Linked DNA regions of Anolis sagrei. The protein of the gene in region 1 interacts with the protein of each later gene in a pairwise test. Links are inferred from orthologs where the notes say so. Each region holds a gene or a part of one and is shown in the gene's direction. Other genes may lie near its edges.

Region 1 (7,134 bases):
CTTGGGGGCATTACTCCGCTCCTTCCTGGAGGGTCACTCCCAGTTGGGGAAGCTGGGGGATACCTGCTCGGACCCATGGCCTTTGACCTGTGGGGTCCCACAAGGTTGCATTCTATCCCCCATGTTTTCAATATCTACATGAAACCACTGGGTAGGATTATCCAGAGTTTTGGAGTTGGGTACCATCTGTACACAGATGACACCCAACTCTACTACTCATTTCCACCAAATTCCAAGGAAGCCTCCCAGACCTTGAACCAGTGTCTATCAGCTGTGATGGACTGGATGAGGGCTAACAGGTTGAAGCTTAATCCAGACAAGACAGAGGTCCTCCTGGTCAGTTGTGGGGCCGACCAGGGTATTGGGTGGCAACCTGTGCGTCCCCTGAGGACGCAGGTCCGTAGCTTGGGGGTTCTCCTGGATTCAACGCTGTCACTTGATGCTCAGGTGTCGGCGGTGGCTGGGAGGGCCTTTGCACAATTCATACTTGTGCACCAGCTGCAACCATACCTAGTGAAGTCTGACTTGGCCAGGGTGATCCACACCTTGATTATATCTAGATTGGGCTACTGCAATGTGCTCTACGTGGGGCTGCCCTTGAGGACAGCCTGGAAATTTCAACTGGTACAACGAATAGCAGCCAGGCTCCTTAATGGAGCAAACTATAGGGAGCATGCAACGCCCATATTAAAACAGCTTCATTGGCTGCTTGTTGAAACCACCAGGTCTTCAAGCTCTTACGAAAGGAGGGGAGGGATGGGGCCTGTCTTATTTCCCTTGGAAGGGTGTTCCAGAGGCAGGGGACCACCACCGAGAAGGCCCTCTCTCTCATCCCCACCAACCATACGTGTGACAGTAGTGGGAGCGAAAGGAGGGCCTCCCCGGAAGATCTTAGAGCTCGCGCCAGTTCATATAAGGAGATGCAATTGCAGAGATAGGCAGGTCCTATCTCTACTGAAGCACCTTCTCCTAACCTGGTGATCTTTTGTTGTGCTGGATTGCAGTGCCCATCATCCCCTACTAACAGGGCCATTTGCAACTACAGAAACTGTCGAATACGGTTGAAGGGTCCAAGGATGGAGAAAGCTGAAATTAAAGGATGTGGCAAACTTCACTACTGTTCTGTTGTATGCTAGGTAAACTTCACTACTGTTCCTTTGTTTTTGATTAAATGGTTTGAATCAAACTATAGGCAGCTTGTGACCAGAGCAGAGGTGAGAGAGTGTCACTCAAAATACCCGAGCCTCCTGCTTCGATCACAAGCTGCCACTGTGCCATCAAGCCATGATTCGCCCACCCCTGCCAGCCTTGACTCCTCTCTGTGCCCATAGATGTGTCTTCTACTGGAGTTTCAATTGACAAGAAATCCAGAAGTTTGTGGAACATGATGGGGTTTTTTTTATTGTTGCTGTCTTTAAAAAACCACTGGAGTGGAAAGCTAGTCTGGGGGTTCAAAGAGGCATTCAATTTAAATCTCTCTTAATTAGCTTCTGAGCTGCTTTGTTCAGCTGGCTGGTGAGATGAATCAAAGTTCTGCCATTTGGACAGTTTTAGCAAGAGAAGACAGCCGGTTCGTGGAGGAAAGACAGCTGTGTTTTCAGTGTTTCATTTCTGAAAGTGATGCTCAAATCTCAATTGAAACTATACTTTCTGGTCAGCAATTTCATCCAGATTGACTGCTGTTATTCACTGAGGAAGAAGAGATTCTGTACACGCACAGAGGCATTTTTGTTGTCGTTAACTGCCGTCAAGACGACTTTGAGTCAACATGTTGTGTTATCATCTACCGTATGGCCTGCTCAGCCTTTGCAGATCCAGATTCTATAGTTTAACAATGTATTATTGTACTCTTTTTTTTCTTTTCCGCAAGCACACGCAGAGTGCTTTCCTCCTACTGTTTTGTAATAATTGCTCACATCACTATACTGCTATTAAAAGTTCAAGATTTCAAGATGTGGCTTTCTGGCAGAATTGATTGAAATAACTTCTCAGAGTAAAAATTCGTCAGAAAAACCCATCTCTGGATGGGCAGCTTGTATGAAGAAAACTTACTTTACTTAGGCAATCCCTCATTGTCCGGGTAGGATAGTCTTCCAAGATCAGTGTACTGGTGAGTCCGTAGGTGACTGTGGAGCCCTATTCTTGATCTGCATCTTCTCCCGCAGTGAGGGCATTGGTTTCCAGATGGAAGGCGGTCTCGGTTGGGGTTGGCTTGACGTGCCTTCCTCTTGGCACATTTCTCTCACCCTCCATTCATGCCTCTTCAAATTCTACAGCACTGCTGGTCAAAGCTGACCTCCAGCTGGAGTACTCAAGGGCCAGGGCTTCCCAGTTCTCAGTGTCTATGCCAAAGTTTTTAAGGTTGGCTTTGAGCCCATCTTTAAATCTCTTTTCCTGCCCTCCAACATTCCGTTTTCCATTCTTGAGTTCAGAGTAGAGCTTTGGGAGACAGTGGTTGGGCATCCGGACAACGTGGCGGAGTTGATGGCAGAGGACCATCGCTTCAATGCTGGTGGTCTTTGCTTCTTCCAGCATGCTGACATTTGTCCACTTGTCTTCCCAAGAGATTTGCAGGATTTTCTGGAGACAGCACTGATGGAATCGTTCCAGAAGTTGCAACTGCTTTGAGAAACGGTGGTCAGGCATTGGGCAATGTGGCTGGTCCAGCGGAGTTGATGGTGGAGGACCATTGCTTCAATGCTGGTGATCTTTGCATCTTCCAGCATGCTGACATTTGTCCGCTTGTCTTCCCAAGAGATTTGCAGGATTTTCCGGAGATAGCACTGATGGAATCGTTCCAGAAGTTGCATGTGATGTCTGTAGACAGTCCATGTTTCGCAGGCATATAGCAGAGTTGGGAGGACAATAGCTTTATAAACAAGCACCTTGGTATCCCTGTGGATGTCCCGGTCCTCAAACACACTCTGCTTCATTCGGAAAAAGGCTGCACTTGCAGAGTTCAGGTGGTGTAGTATTTCAGAGTCAATGTTGACTTTTGTGGAGAGGTGGCTGCCAAGGTAGCGGAAATGATCAACATTTTCGAATGTTACACCATTAAGCTGTATTTCTGGCTTTGGAGAGGGATTGGCTGGTGACTGATGGAAGCGCTCTTTGGTTTTCTCGATGTTCAGTGACAGGCCGAGCTTCTCATATGCTTCTGCGATGATATTTAGAGTGGCTTGTAGGTTTTCTTCTGAATGCGCACAGGTGACGTTGTCATCACTATACTAGAGTTCTATAACAGATGTTGTTGTAACCTTGGTTTTGGCTTTCAGTCTGCTGAGATTAAATACCTTGCCATATGTCCGATAGATGATTTCCACTCCGGTGGGAAGCTTCCCATCAACAAAATGCAGGGAACAAAATCAACCACTGTACATGGCATTCATTGACCTTGCAAAGGCATTTGACACAGTGAATCGCAGCGCTCTCTGGACCATCCTCCAAAAAATCGGGTGCCCTAACAAATTTGTGAACATCCTGCAGCTCCTCCATGATGGCATGATGGCAACAATCTTGGACAGCAATTGATCCCAAAGTGACACATTTAAGGTGGAATCAGGTGTCAAACAGGCATGTGTTATTTCACCAACTTCATTCTCCATCTTCATCGCTATGATACTATGATACTTCATGAAGAATACAGATCTTTTGGTTGCCTTTGAGCCTCTTTCTTTGAGCCTTCATGTAAACATGGCCGTTATGTGATTGTTGGCTATACAAATAGAAGAGTGCCATTTGTCATGTAAATGAGTATTCGTTCAAAGCATTGCAAGAAAACAGAGAGGGGGAGATTAACTGAGTTTTTGTAATAAGTGCCCCTATTATTCGAAGGCAAAAAGGACAACCTTAGTCTTGTGGGAATCCCATTGCAGTGATGTGCTGTGACAGATAGTTGTGATGGTCATTACCAATGGACACAGCTACATCATTAATCCAAGTCCATTTTCTCTCTGTTTCATCAAGAAAACTCAAAACTTCTCCCCAATGTCCTCCTTTTGCAGCTTTGCCAGGGCAAGGGCACTTGGCATAGCAAATGTGAGATGTCAGGACCTGGCACACAACCCATTCCTCCCTCCCTCTCCAGCCCTTTACACGCAAATGGCCGGGCATGGTTAACCTTCTTGTATAAAAACCCTTTGCAGCACAGAGAGAGGAAGCTGTCCGAGCCTGCAAAGCCTGGAGAAGGGATTTCACCATGGAAGGGCAGAGGCTGTCATCCTATGGGAGACGCTTTGGCTCGCAAACCAGCTCTGTCCACCATGCTCTGAGGTTCTCACCAGGCCGCAGGTACATGCCTTCAAGTGCTACCAGTCGGGTCTCTGTCACCAAACTGAAGACTGCCAGCCTCAGTTTTCGTGCTGGCCCTAAGTTCTCAGACAAGGTGGATTTTTCCTTGGCTGATGCCCTTAATACTGAGTTCAAGGAGACCCGTACCAACGAGAAGGTGGAGATGATGGAGCTGAATGACCGCTTTGCCAGCTACATTGAGAAGGTCCGTTTCCTTGAGCAGCAGAACAAGGTTCTGGTAACTGAGCTCAACCAAATCCGAGACAAGGAGCCCACCAAGTTGGCTGATATCTACCAGGAGGAGCTGAGAGATCTACGCCACCAAGTAGACCAGCTCTCCAACTCTAAGGCCCGGCTGGAGATTGAGAGGGACAACCTGCTGGAGGATCTCAACAATCTTCGGCAAAAGTAAGCAAACTATTCATAAGATCTTGACCTAGAAATGGGCAATGAGAGAGCTGAAGCAAGAGAACAATATGCAAGTGTACTGGGAAATTTTGCAGTTAGAGGAGGATTCTTGCCGGATGACTTTGTTACTAGTTTTACACACTACATTTTTTCGCACTACAATTCTAATGATCCCTTTTGAGCTGGGTTCCTCAAACTTTTTAAACAGAGGGCCAGGTCACAATCCCTCAAACTGTTGGAGGGCCGGATTATAATTTGAAAAAACATGAATGAATTCCTATGCACACTGCACATTTCTTATTTGTAGTGCATTTTTTTAAAAAAATAATACAATAATTAAAATTAAGAACAATGTAAACAAATATAAACTTATTAGTATTTCAGTGGGAAGTGTGGCACTGCTTTTGGCTGATGAGATAGGATTGTTGTTGTTGTTGTTGTGTGCTTTCAAGTCATTTCATACTTAGGTTGATCCTGAGCGAGGGCCAGGTAAATGACCTTGGATGGCTGTATCCGGGCCCTAGGCCATAGTTTGAGGACCCCTGCTTTTGAGTATGGAACGGAATTTTCCAGGATGTGATTTGTCTATTTTGTAACATATTATTATTATTATTATTATTATTATTGTCTTTTTATTTATTTATTCATTATTAATTATGTATTTTATTATTATTATTATTATTATTATTATTATTGTCTTTTCATTCATAATTTATTTATTTATTTATTGTGTTTATTATTATTATTATTATTATTATTATTATTATGAGTATGGGACAGAATTTTCCAGGATGTGATTTGTCTATTTTGTAACATTTTATTTATCATTATTATTGTCTTTTTATTTATTTATTTATTTATTTATTTTTATTTTATTTATTATTATTATTATTATTATTGTCTTGTCCAAGGTGGCTTGAGTTGTCTAAAACAGTGCTTCCTATGCTATGTAATGCATAGGACTGGCAATTCTTTCCACCAATGTGCACAGGGGACCAATCCTATATTAGTTCTCATTAGCTACAATTGTTATTTTCTATCCTGGAATCTCGCCAAAGACCATCAGCAGTACTTTGAATAGAGCTGGTCTTCAACAGTTTCTCTTAACATGGCATTCTCTATGGCACTGAATCTATACTGACCAGGGATTATGTGAGTTGTAGTACATTGTGTATCTTGAAAGTGCCAGCTTAGGAAAAGCTGATAAATGAAGAATAGAATTCAAAACAGTTCTGGGAAACCTTGTGATTCCTCTGAACCTCATTAGTTCTTTAATGAGAACATCATAATGGCCGGCCAGCAGCACTCAATGGCATCTTGCCCACCTCTGCTGACTGTCTCCTGCAACAAGCAAAGTGGGAAATAGTCCAAGGGATGACTTGAAGTTAATGATGAAGCCCAGCAGATGTGGACAATAGTTCTTGTGAAGTGGAGAGTGTAAAAACTGCAGCTGTGTTCACCTTCCTTTTATGGGAAACTTTTAATAACCAACCTGCCCTTTCCTGTAAGACTAGGTTGTATTTGGAGTGGTGAATTGATGAATCTGCTCTGGGTTTTTGCCTGAACTTTAAAGGAGCTATTCAAAGTGATGAAATTATTTGCAGGGTAAGGAAATTGAGCAAATGATTCCTTCCCAATTTCTGATTCTATGCTTACGTCTTTCTATGCTAAACCCATTTTATGTTAAATTATTCTGAAAGTATCACCAACAAACAGGACTTGAGAGTTCCACAATAAGGAGAAGATTCTATGCAAGAATCATAGAATCATAAAGTTGGAAGAGACCTCATGGGCCATCCAGTCCAACCCCCTGCCAAGAAGCAGGGAAATTGCATTCAAACCACCCCCGACAGATGGCCATTCAGCTTCTGTTTAAAAGCTTCCAAAGAAGGAGCATCTACCACATTCTGAGGCAGAGAGTTCCAATGCTGAACAGCTCTCACAGTCAGGAAGTTCTTCCTCATGTTCAGATGGACTCTCCTTTCTTGTACTTTGGAGCCATTGTTCCACGTCCTAGTCTCCAGGGCAGCAGAAAACAAGTTCGCTCCTCCTCCCTGTGGCTTCCTCTCACATATTTATACATGGCTATCATCAGGCCCGTAGCCAGGATTTCGTTTCGGGGGGGGGGGGGCTGAATTTTTTTCAGGGGGGGTGGGGGGGCTGAGTTTCGGGGGTGGGGCTGAGTCTGAGTGAAAGAGGGTCTAGCCTAGCAAACCTTTTGTATCATTACCCCAATACCCCCATGCATATGGGATATATTGAGCATGGTGATCAGCTCATGATATGAATAAACATAAAAGTTTAAATAATGCACCAGTAAGGCCTTTTCGCGAACCACCATGAGAATTTCGAACCCCCCCCCCCCCCAGCTACATGCCTGGCTATCATGTCTCCTCTCAGCCTTCACTTCTTCAGGCTAAACATACCCAACTCTTT
Region 2 (7,910 bases), on another chromosome or scaffold:
CATAACTGCTTTACAGTCATAAAAACCCATGGGGCCAAAATTCCCCTGGATGGACATAGAATCCTTGAGTCGGAAGAGACCTCGTGGGCAATCCAGTCCAACCTCATTCTGCCAAGAAGCAGGAAAATCACATCCAAAGCACCCCCGACAGATGGCCATCCCGCCTCTATTTCAAAGCCTCCAAAGAAGCAGGCTCTACCACACTCCAGGGCAGAGTTCCACTGCTGAACAGCTCTCGCAGTCAGGAAAATATTCCTAATGTTCAGATGGAATCTCCTTTCCTGTACTTTGAAGCCATTGTTCCACGTCCTAGTCTCCAGGGCAGCAGAAAGCAAGCTTGCACCCTCCTCCCTATGACTTCTCCTCACGTCTTGAGCCATGACTCTCAGCCTAATAATAATAATAACAATAATAACAACAACATAATATTAACATAATAATAATAATAATAATAACACTATTATTATTATTAATGTCTCCTCTCAGCCTAATAATAATAATAATAATAATAATAATAACAACGTTATTCTTATACCCCGCCACCATCTCCCCAAAGGGACTCGGGGCGGCTTACAGGGGCACAAGCTCACACTACAGATAAAACAGCATTAAAAACAATCAAATAAAAATGTACACGCAATCAAAACAACATCTTAAAACAATAGGCTGGGATAACAATCAAGTGCATAGTCAGGGTAGGAAAGGAATAGTTCTCTGGTAAAACTGCTCAATCAATGGCACGACAGAACATCCACGTTTTCAATTCTCTACAAAAAATGGATAATGTTGAGGCCTGTCTGATCTCCCCAGGGAGGGAGTTCCAGAACCAGGGAGCCACCACTGAGAAGGCCCTCTCCCTTGTTCCCACCAACCGTGCCTGAGACAGAGGCGGAAGTGAGAGGAAAGCCTCCCCTGGTGATCTCAAAGTGCGGGAGGGTTCATATGGGAAGATGCGGTCACGAAGATAAACTCGTTTCTGCAGGCTAAACAAGCCCAGCTCTTTAAGCCGCTCCTCATGGACACTTGATAATCATCACCAAGCTATTATTATAATTGCGGCCCAAGACGGAGTGCAAGTATTGCTTCCAAGTGTGGAGGCGTCTAACTTAACAGGCGGGGTGCAGAGCGGCTGGGGATGCCTTCCTGCCCTTTTTAAAGGGGCCTTGATGCAGAGAATCCCCTCCCTCTCCTTTCACGCATGAGCAGGCCTTCCCTTCCACACCTGTCAGGGCAAAGGCTTTGGGACCCTTCAGGGGCCATGTTGTTCATTCGTTCAGTTGCTTCCGACTCTTTGTGACCTCTTGGACCAGCCCACACCAGAGCTCCCTGTTGGCCATCACCACCCCCAGCTCTTTCAAGGTCAAGCCAGTCACTTCAAGGATGCTATCCATCCATCTTGCCCTTGGTCGGCCCCTCTTCCTTTTACCTTCAATTTTCCACAGCATAATTGTCTTCTCTAAGCTTTCCTGTCTTCTCATGATTTGGCCAAAATACTTCATATCTTGGCCTCTACTATCCTTCCCTCCAATGAGCAGTCGGGCTTTATTTCCCGAAGAATGGACTGATTGGATCTTCTCGCAGTCCAAGGCACTCTCAGAACTGTCCTCCAGCACCAGAGTTCAAAAGCATCTCTCTTCCTTCGCTCAGCCTTCCCTAAGGTCCAGCTCTCACATCCGTATGTGACTATGGGGAATACCAGTGCTTTTACTATGCGGATCTTTGTTGCCAGTATGATGTCTCTACTCTTCACTATTTTAACAAGATTGGACATTGCTCTCCTTCCAAGAAGTAAGCGTCTCCTGATTTCCTGGCCACAGTCTACATCTGCAGTAATCTTTGCACCTAGAAATGCCAAGTCTGTCACGGCCTCCACGTTTTCTCCCTCTATTTCCCAGTTGTCAATCAGTCTGGTTGCCATAATCTTGGTTTTTTTTATGTTTAACTGCAACCCAGCTTTTGCACTTTCTTCTTTCACCTTGATCAGAAGGCTCCCTAGCTCCTCCTCACTTTCGGCCATCAAAGTGGTATCATCTGCATATCTAAGGTTGTTAATGTTCCTTCCAGTAACTTTTACCCCAGCCTTGCATTTATCAAGCCCTGCACACCGCATGATGTGTTCTGCATACAAGTTGAATAGGTTGGGTGAGAGGATACAACCCTGCCGTACGCCTTTCCCAATCTTGAACCAGTGTGCTGTTCCATGGTCAGTTCTGACTGTTGCTACTTGGTCCTTGTACAGATTCCTCAGGAGAGAGACAAGGTGATTTGGTATTCCCATACCACCAAGAACTTGCCACAATTTATTATGATCCACAAAGTCTAAGGCTTTAGAATCTATATAAATAAAAATGTAATGTTTGTTTGTGAGATTAACAGAACTCAAAAACCACTGGGTGAATTAACAACAAATTTGGACACAAGACACATAACAACCCAATGTATGTCCTTCACTCTTAAAAAAATGATTTTGTCGTTTGGGAGTTGTAGTTGCTGGGATTTATAGTTCACCTACAATCAAAGACCATTCTGAACTCCACCAACGATGGAATTGAACCAAACTTGGCACACAGTTCTCCTATGACCAACAGAAACTACTAGAAGGGTTTGGTGGGCAGTGTCCTTTGGTTTTGGAGTTGTAGTTCACCTATATCCAGAGATCACTGTGGACTCAAACAATGATGGATCTGGACCAAACTCTACATGAATACTCAATATGCCCAAATGTGAACACTGGTGGAGTTTGGGAAAAATAGAATCTTGACATTTGGGAGTTGTAGTTGCTGGGAGTTATAGTTCACTTACAATCACAGAGCATTCTGAACCCCACCAACAATAGAATTGGGCAAACCTCCCACACAGAACCCCTATGTAGGCCACAGCAACGCGTGGCAGGGGACGGCTAGTAGTCGATAAAACAGAAATAGATGTTTTTCTGAAAGTCCTTGCCTTTCTACATTATCTACACGGAGAGAGAGTTGCCAGATAGAATCATAGAATCAAAGAGTTGGAAGAGACCTCATGGGCCATCCAGTCCAACCCCCTGCCAAGAAGCAGGAATATTGCATTCAAATCACCCCTGACAGATGGCCATTCAGCCTCTGTTTAAAAGCTTCCAAAGGAGGAGCCTCCACCACACTCCGGGGCAGAGAGTTCCACTGCTGAACGACTCTCACAGTCAGGAAGTTCTTCCTCATGTTCAGATGAGAGGAATCTGAGTTCAGAGCTTGTTCACGGCACGAATCAAACTTATAAGTCAAGGTATCACTGTCTTTAGAAATACACCCTCAGAGTGTTAGAAAGACTGGGAAGTAGCTCTGGGGTTATGGAAAGGAACAGAGAAAGAGAGGAGGATAAGGAGGAGGAAGAAGAAGGAAGGAGTGGAAGAGGAGTAGAAAGAGAGAAGAAAGGAGGAGGCCCCTCAGAGTCCCCCTCTCACTCTTGAGGACCTCAGACCCTAACTTGTGACCGGGGTTCAGCCCAAAGAGGTGGATTTTGCAACAGCTCTCAGTCTACTTACTCCAGCCCTCTTAAATATTGTACAAATCATCTTCTAGGCCAGGCATGAGCCAACTTTGGCTCTCCCTCATAGAATCATAGTGTTGGAAGAGACCTAATGGGCTATCCAGTTGTAGTTTGAAGCCATTGTTCCGCGTCCTAGTCTCCAGGGAAGCAGAAAGCAAGCTTGCTCCCTCCTCCCTGTGGCTTCCTCTCAAATATTTATACATGGCTATCATATCCCCTCTCAACCTTCTCTTCTTCAGGCTCAACATGCCCAGCTCCTTAAGCCGCTCCTCATAGGGCTTGTTCTCCAGACCCTTGATCATTTTAGTGGCTCTCCTCTGGACACATTCCAGCTTGTCAATATCAAGCTGAGTATAGAAAAGGCAGAGGAACGAGAAACTAGGAGCCATAGAAGAAAATAAAGATGGGTAGAGCAAGGCACTTCCTGGTCCCTCCACCTTGAGAGCAAGAAAGCCCCCTCTACGCGAGGCCCCGCCCCTTTCTCTTCTACTTAGGTCAACAGTAAGCTGGGCTGACAGTCCGCAGCTTATGCCTACCCAGGGCTTCGAACTGGCAGCCTTTTTCTGCTGGTAGATCTTATCATTGCTGGGCTGTGCTAAAGCCCCGGCTTTCCTCTCTTCTGCAGAACAAGCCCCGCCCCTTTCTCACAAGCCCCGCCCCTTTCTCTTCTACTTAGGTCAACAGTAAGCTGGGCTGACAGTTGGCAGCTTATGCCTACCCAGGGCTTCAAACTGGCAGCCTTTTTCTGCTGGTAGATCTTATCATTGCTGGGCTGTGCTAAAGCCCCGGCTTTCCTCTCTTCCGCAGAACAAGCCCCGCCCCTTTCTCACAAGCCCCGCCCCTTTCTCTTCTACTTAGGTCAACAGTAAGGTGGGCTGACAGTCGGCAGCTTACGCCTACCCAGACCCCTTTCTCACAGGCCCCGCCCTCTTCGCCCCCTTATATTTCCTCACCGCTTGGCCTCCTCCAAGTGGCAGAGGTACTCGTAGGCCACGTTCTGCAGGCGCCTCTCGTCCATCTCCTCCGCCGTCATCCGCTCGTTGTCCAGCACCGCTACAGAAGGGGGAAAATAGAGGGAGGGGCGTCAGGAAGGGTCTCCTTCCCCTTCCCCTCGGAAAGAAAATGAGGACGGAAGGCCACTCACAGCCATAGTGGGGCCGAGCCGCGCCCTCAAGCTCCTCCGCGGCCGACATCTTTCTCTCTCTCTCTCTCTCTCCAAGCGGAGAAGGCGCGCTCTTAGCCTTCCTTCCTGCCTTGCCTGACTGACTGACTGACTGACAAGGCGCGGCCGGAAGCAGCCCTTCCCGGGCCTTGGGCGCATGCGCGGGAAACGTTCCCGCCCAATCGGCTAGCTCCGCCCCCTCCGCGCCTCCGCCAGTCAGTCACGTGCCCCTCTGCTTCCTTCCGGGATGATCCACGAGCTGCTCCTGGCGCTGCGGGGCTACGCGGGGGGGCTCTTCGTGGCCAGCGGGGGGCTGCAGGTGTGGCCCCGCCCCCTCCTGGTTGCCTTGGCCCCGCCCCCAAGTGTCTCTCTCTGTGTCTCTCCTGAAACGCGCTTCTCCCTCTTCTCCGACAGGTGGCTCCCGAAGCGGTGCCGGGGCTGATTCACCCGAGCGAGGCCGCGCTGCTAGGCCGCCTCCTCCGCCTCGGCTCCTTCTACCTCCGCTTCAGCGAGTTCATCGAGCCCGCCAATCAGAGCAGCAATGCCGGCGAGGCCCCGCCCCCTCCCGCGCAGGCCCCGCCCCCGGCGCTCCCGCCCGCCCCGCCCCCACAGGTGAGCAAAGCTGCATTGGGACAGCATGGCATGCAAGACACCTGCCAATACATGTAGTAGTATTATTATTATTATGAGCATTGTTACAGCATATATATATATATATATATATATAGACATATGTTATCGTTTTTATATATAATATTTATTTATTGGATATGTTATTATTTTGTATATAAAAATATACAAAATATATAATTATTGTTGGCTATATTATTGTTTTATATAATAATATAAAATATAAAATAATAATAATATATTATTATGAGCTTGTTGATCGAAAGGTCGCAGGTTCGATTCCAGGGAGCGGCGTGAGCTTCCGCTGTCAGCCCTAGTTTCTGCCAACCTAGCAGTTTGAAAACATGCAAATGTGAGTAGATAAATAGGTACCGCTCCGGCAGGAAAGTAACGGCGCTCCATGCAGTCATGCCGGCCACATGACCTTGGAGGTGTCTACAGACAACGCTGGCTCTTCGGCTTAGAAATGGAGATGAGCACCACACCCCAGAGTCAGACATGACTGGACTTAATGTCAGGGGACTACCTTTACCTTTATATAGTATATCAATGAGGGATTATTCCATAGGACATTTAGTGCAATACACTTGCAAACAGATGTATTATTATTATTATTATTATTATTATTATTATTATATATACACACACATATATATATACATACAAATATATGTTATTGTTTTTATATATTATTCTTATTGGAAATGTTATTTTATATATTATTATCATTTCCAGGAGGGAATTATTCAATTGGACATTGAATGCAATTCACTTGCAAATAAATTTATAATTTTTATCACTATTTGTGTGTGTGTGTGTGTATTATCATTTTTATATATAATTATTGTAGGATATGTTATTTTATATGGTATTACGTCAATGAAGGATTATTTAATAGGAGTATTAGTGCAATGCATTTGCAAATGTATTATTATTATGAGATATATATATATATATACACACACACACACACACACACATGTTATTAGTTTGTATATAATTATTATTGGAAATGTTATTATGTTCTATATTATCATCATTTCCAGGAGGGGATTATTCAATTGGACATTGAATGCAATACACTTGCAAATAAATGTATTATTTTTATCACTATTTGTGTGTGTGTGTGTTTGAGTGTGTGATCATTTCTATATGCAATTATTATTGGAAGTGTCATTATTTTATATATTATCATTTCCAGGAGGGGAATTGGACATTTAATGTATTATTAAATAAATGTATTATTTTTATCACTATTAATTGTGTGTGTGTGTTACCATTTTTATATATAATTTTTGTTGGATATGTTTATATAGTATTATGTCAATGAGGGATTATTCAATAGGACATTTAGTGTAATACACTTGCAAATAAATGTATTATTATTATTATTATTATTATTATCATCTTCATCATTTTTATGGTAGTATTTATGTTATTTATTTATGTATTGGTCACATTTGTACCCCACCCTTCTCAATCAGGAGGAGGACTCAGGGCACCCTTGCAACAGGCAGCAATTCAGTGCCACACACTGTGAATTGTGCTCGGTAGCAGACTGGCAGCCAGTGGAGCGGACACAACAGAGGGGTTGTGTGCTCCCTGTATGCCACTTCTCATCTCAATTGAATTCCTTCAAACATAGATTGCAGCCAGATCTGTCCATAAATCAGTCATTATTTGACCCTTCTTTCCTTCTTACTGCAGGAGTTGCCTCCGCCGGGGATCTACCTACGCGCCTTCTGTGCAGGGCTTGACGCCGTGCTGCAGCCCTACCGCCAGGCTTTGCTGGACCTGGAGCTAGAGGTGAGGGGGTCACAGCGGGATCTGGGGACAAGGCTCCACCCAAACTTTAGGAAGAGCTTCCTAACTGTGAGAGCTGTTCAGCAGGGGAACTCTCTGCCTTGGAGTGTGGTGGACACTTTTAAACAGAGGCTGAATGGCCATCTATTGGGGGTGCTTTGAGTGTGATTTTCCTGCTTCTCAGCAGAGGGTTGGACTTGATGGCCTACGAGGTCTCTTCCAACTCTAGGATTCTATGATTCAAGGGGGGGCTCCTCTGACCCATCTCTCTCTCTCTCTGCAGTTCCTGGCCGACCCCCACCTGACTATCGCCCACCTCAACTACTCCCTGGACCAGGTATGATTGTTGCCCCCCTTTGGCCAGGAAGAGATGCTGCAGGAAAGGCCCAGGTACACCTTTGATGCTTCCTTCCTCATCCTCTCTTGCAGTTCCAGCTCCTCTTCCCCTCCTTGATGGTTGTGGTAGAACAGATCAAGACCCAGAAGGTAGGTGCAAGGAGGAGGGGGTTGGTGGTCAGCGGGGGTCACCAAGGGAGGGAAGGAGGGAAGAGTAGACCTCTGTTTACAGAAGCCGACTGAAGCTAGAAGAAAATGTTCCCCCTCCCAAGGACTCTGCTCCTTCCTACACCACAACAGTGGTGTCCAGCAAGGCAGGACTGCCATTTCTTCTCATCTCAGTAGGCATTACGTATATAATTGTGATGCATGTCTAGAAGCATCTGCATTATACTATTATTTTGTGAAATATGGGGAAACCATTGAATCCCTCTCAATGCTGAAACACAACATTAAG

Evidence for each region.
Region 2: the proteins of GFAP (region 1) and TUBGCP4 interact in a two-hybrid assay, tested with the Homo sapiens proteins (2 studies listed by BioGRID and IntAct). The two-hybrid records come from large-scale screens. The link is inferred for Anolis sagrei from reciprocal best matches to the Homo sapiens genes GFAP and TUBGCP4.

What each region holds. Positions count from the first base shown.
Region 1 is NC_090026.1:47,480,855-47,487,988, forward strand, and holds the start of GFAP (glial fibrillary acidic protein), read left to right. Parts: upstream 1-4,111; 5' UTR 4,112-4,198; coding exon 4,199-4,698; intron 4,699-7,134.
Region 2 is NC_090029.1:22,410,150-22,418,059, forward strand, and holds the start of TUBGCP4 (gamma-tubulin complex component 4), read left to right. Parts: upstream 1-4,887; 5' UTR 4,888-4,931; coding exon 4,932-5,003; intron 5,004-5,098; coding exon 5,099-5,296; intron 5,297-7,021; coding exon 7,022-7,120; intron 7,121-7,400; coding exon 7,401-7,454; intron 7,455-7,546; coding exon 7,547-7,603; intron 7,604-7,910. Other genes in the region: ras GTPase-activating-like protein IQGAP1, read right to left, coding at 4,476-4,575, 4,667-4,715. UniProt on the Homo sapiens protein: Component of the gamma-tubulin ring complex (gTuRC) which mediates microtubule nucleation.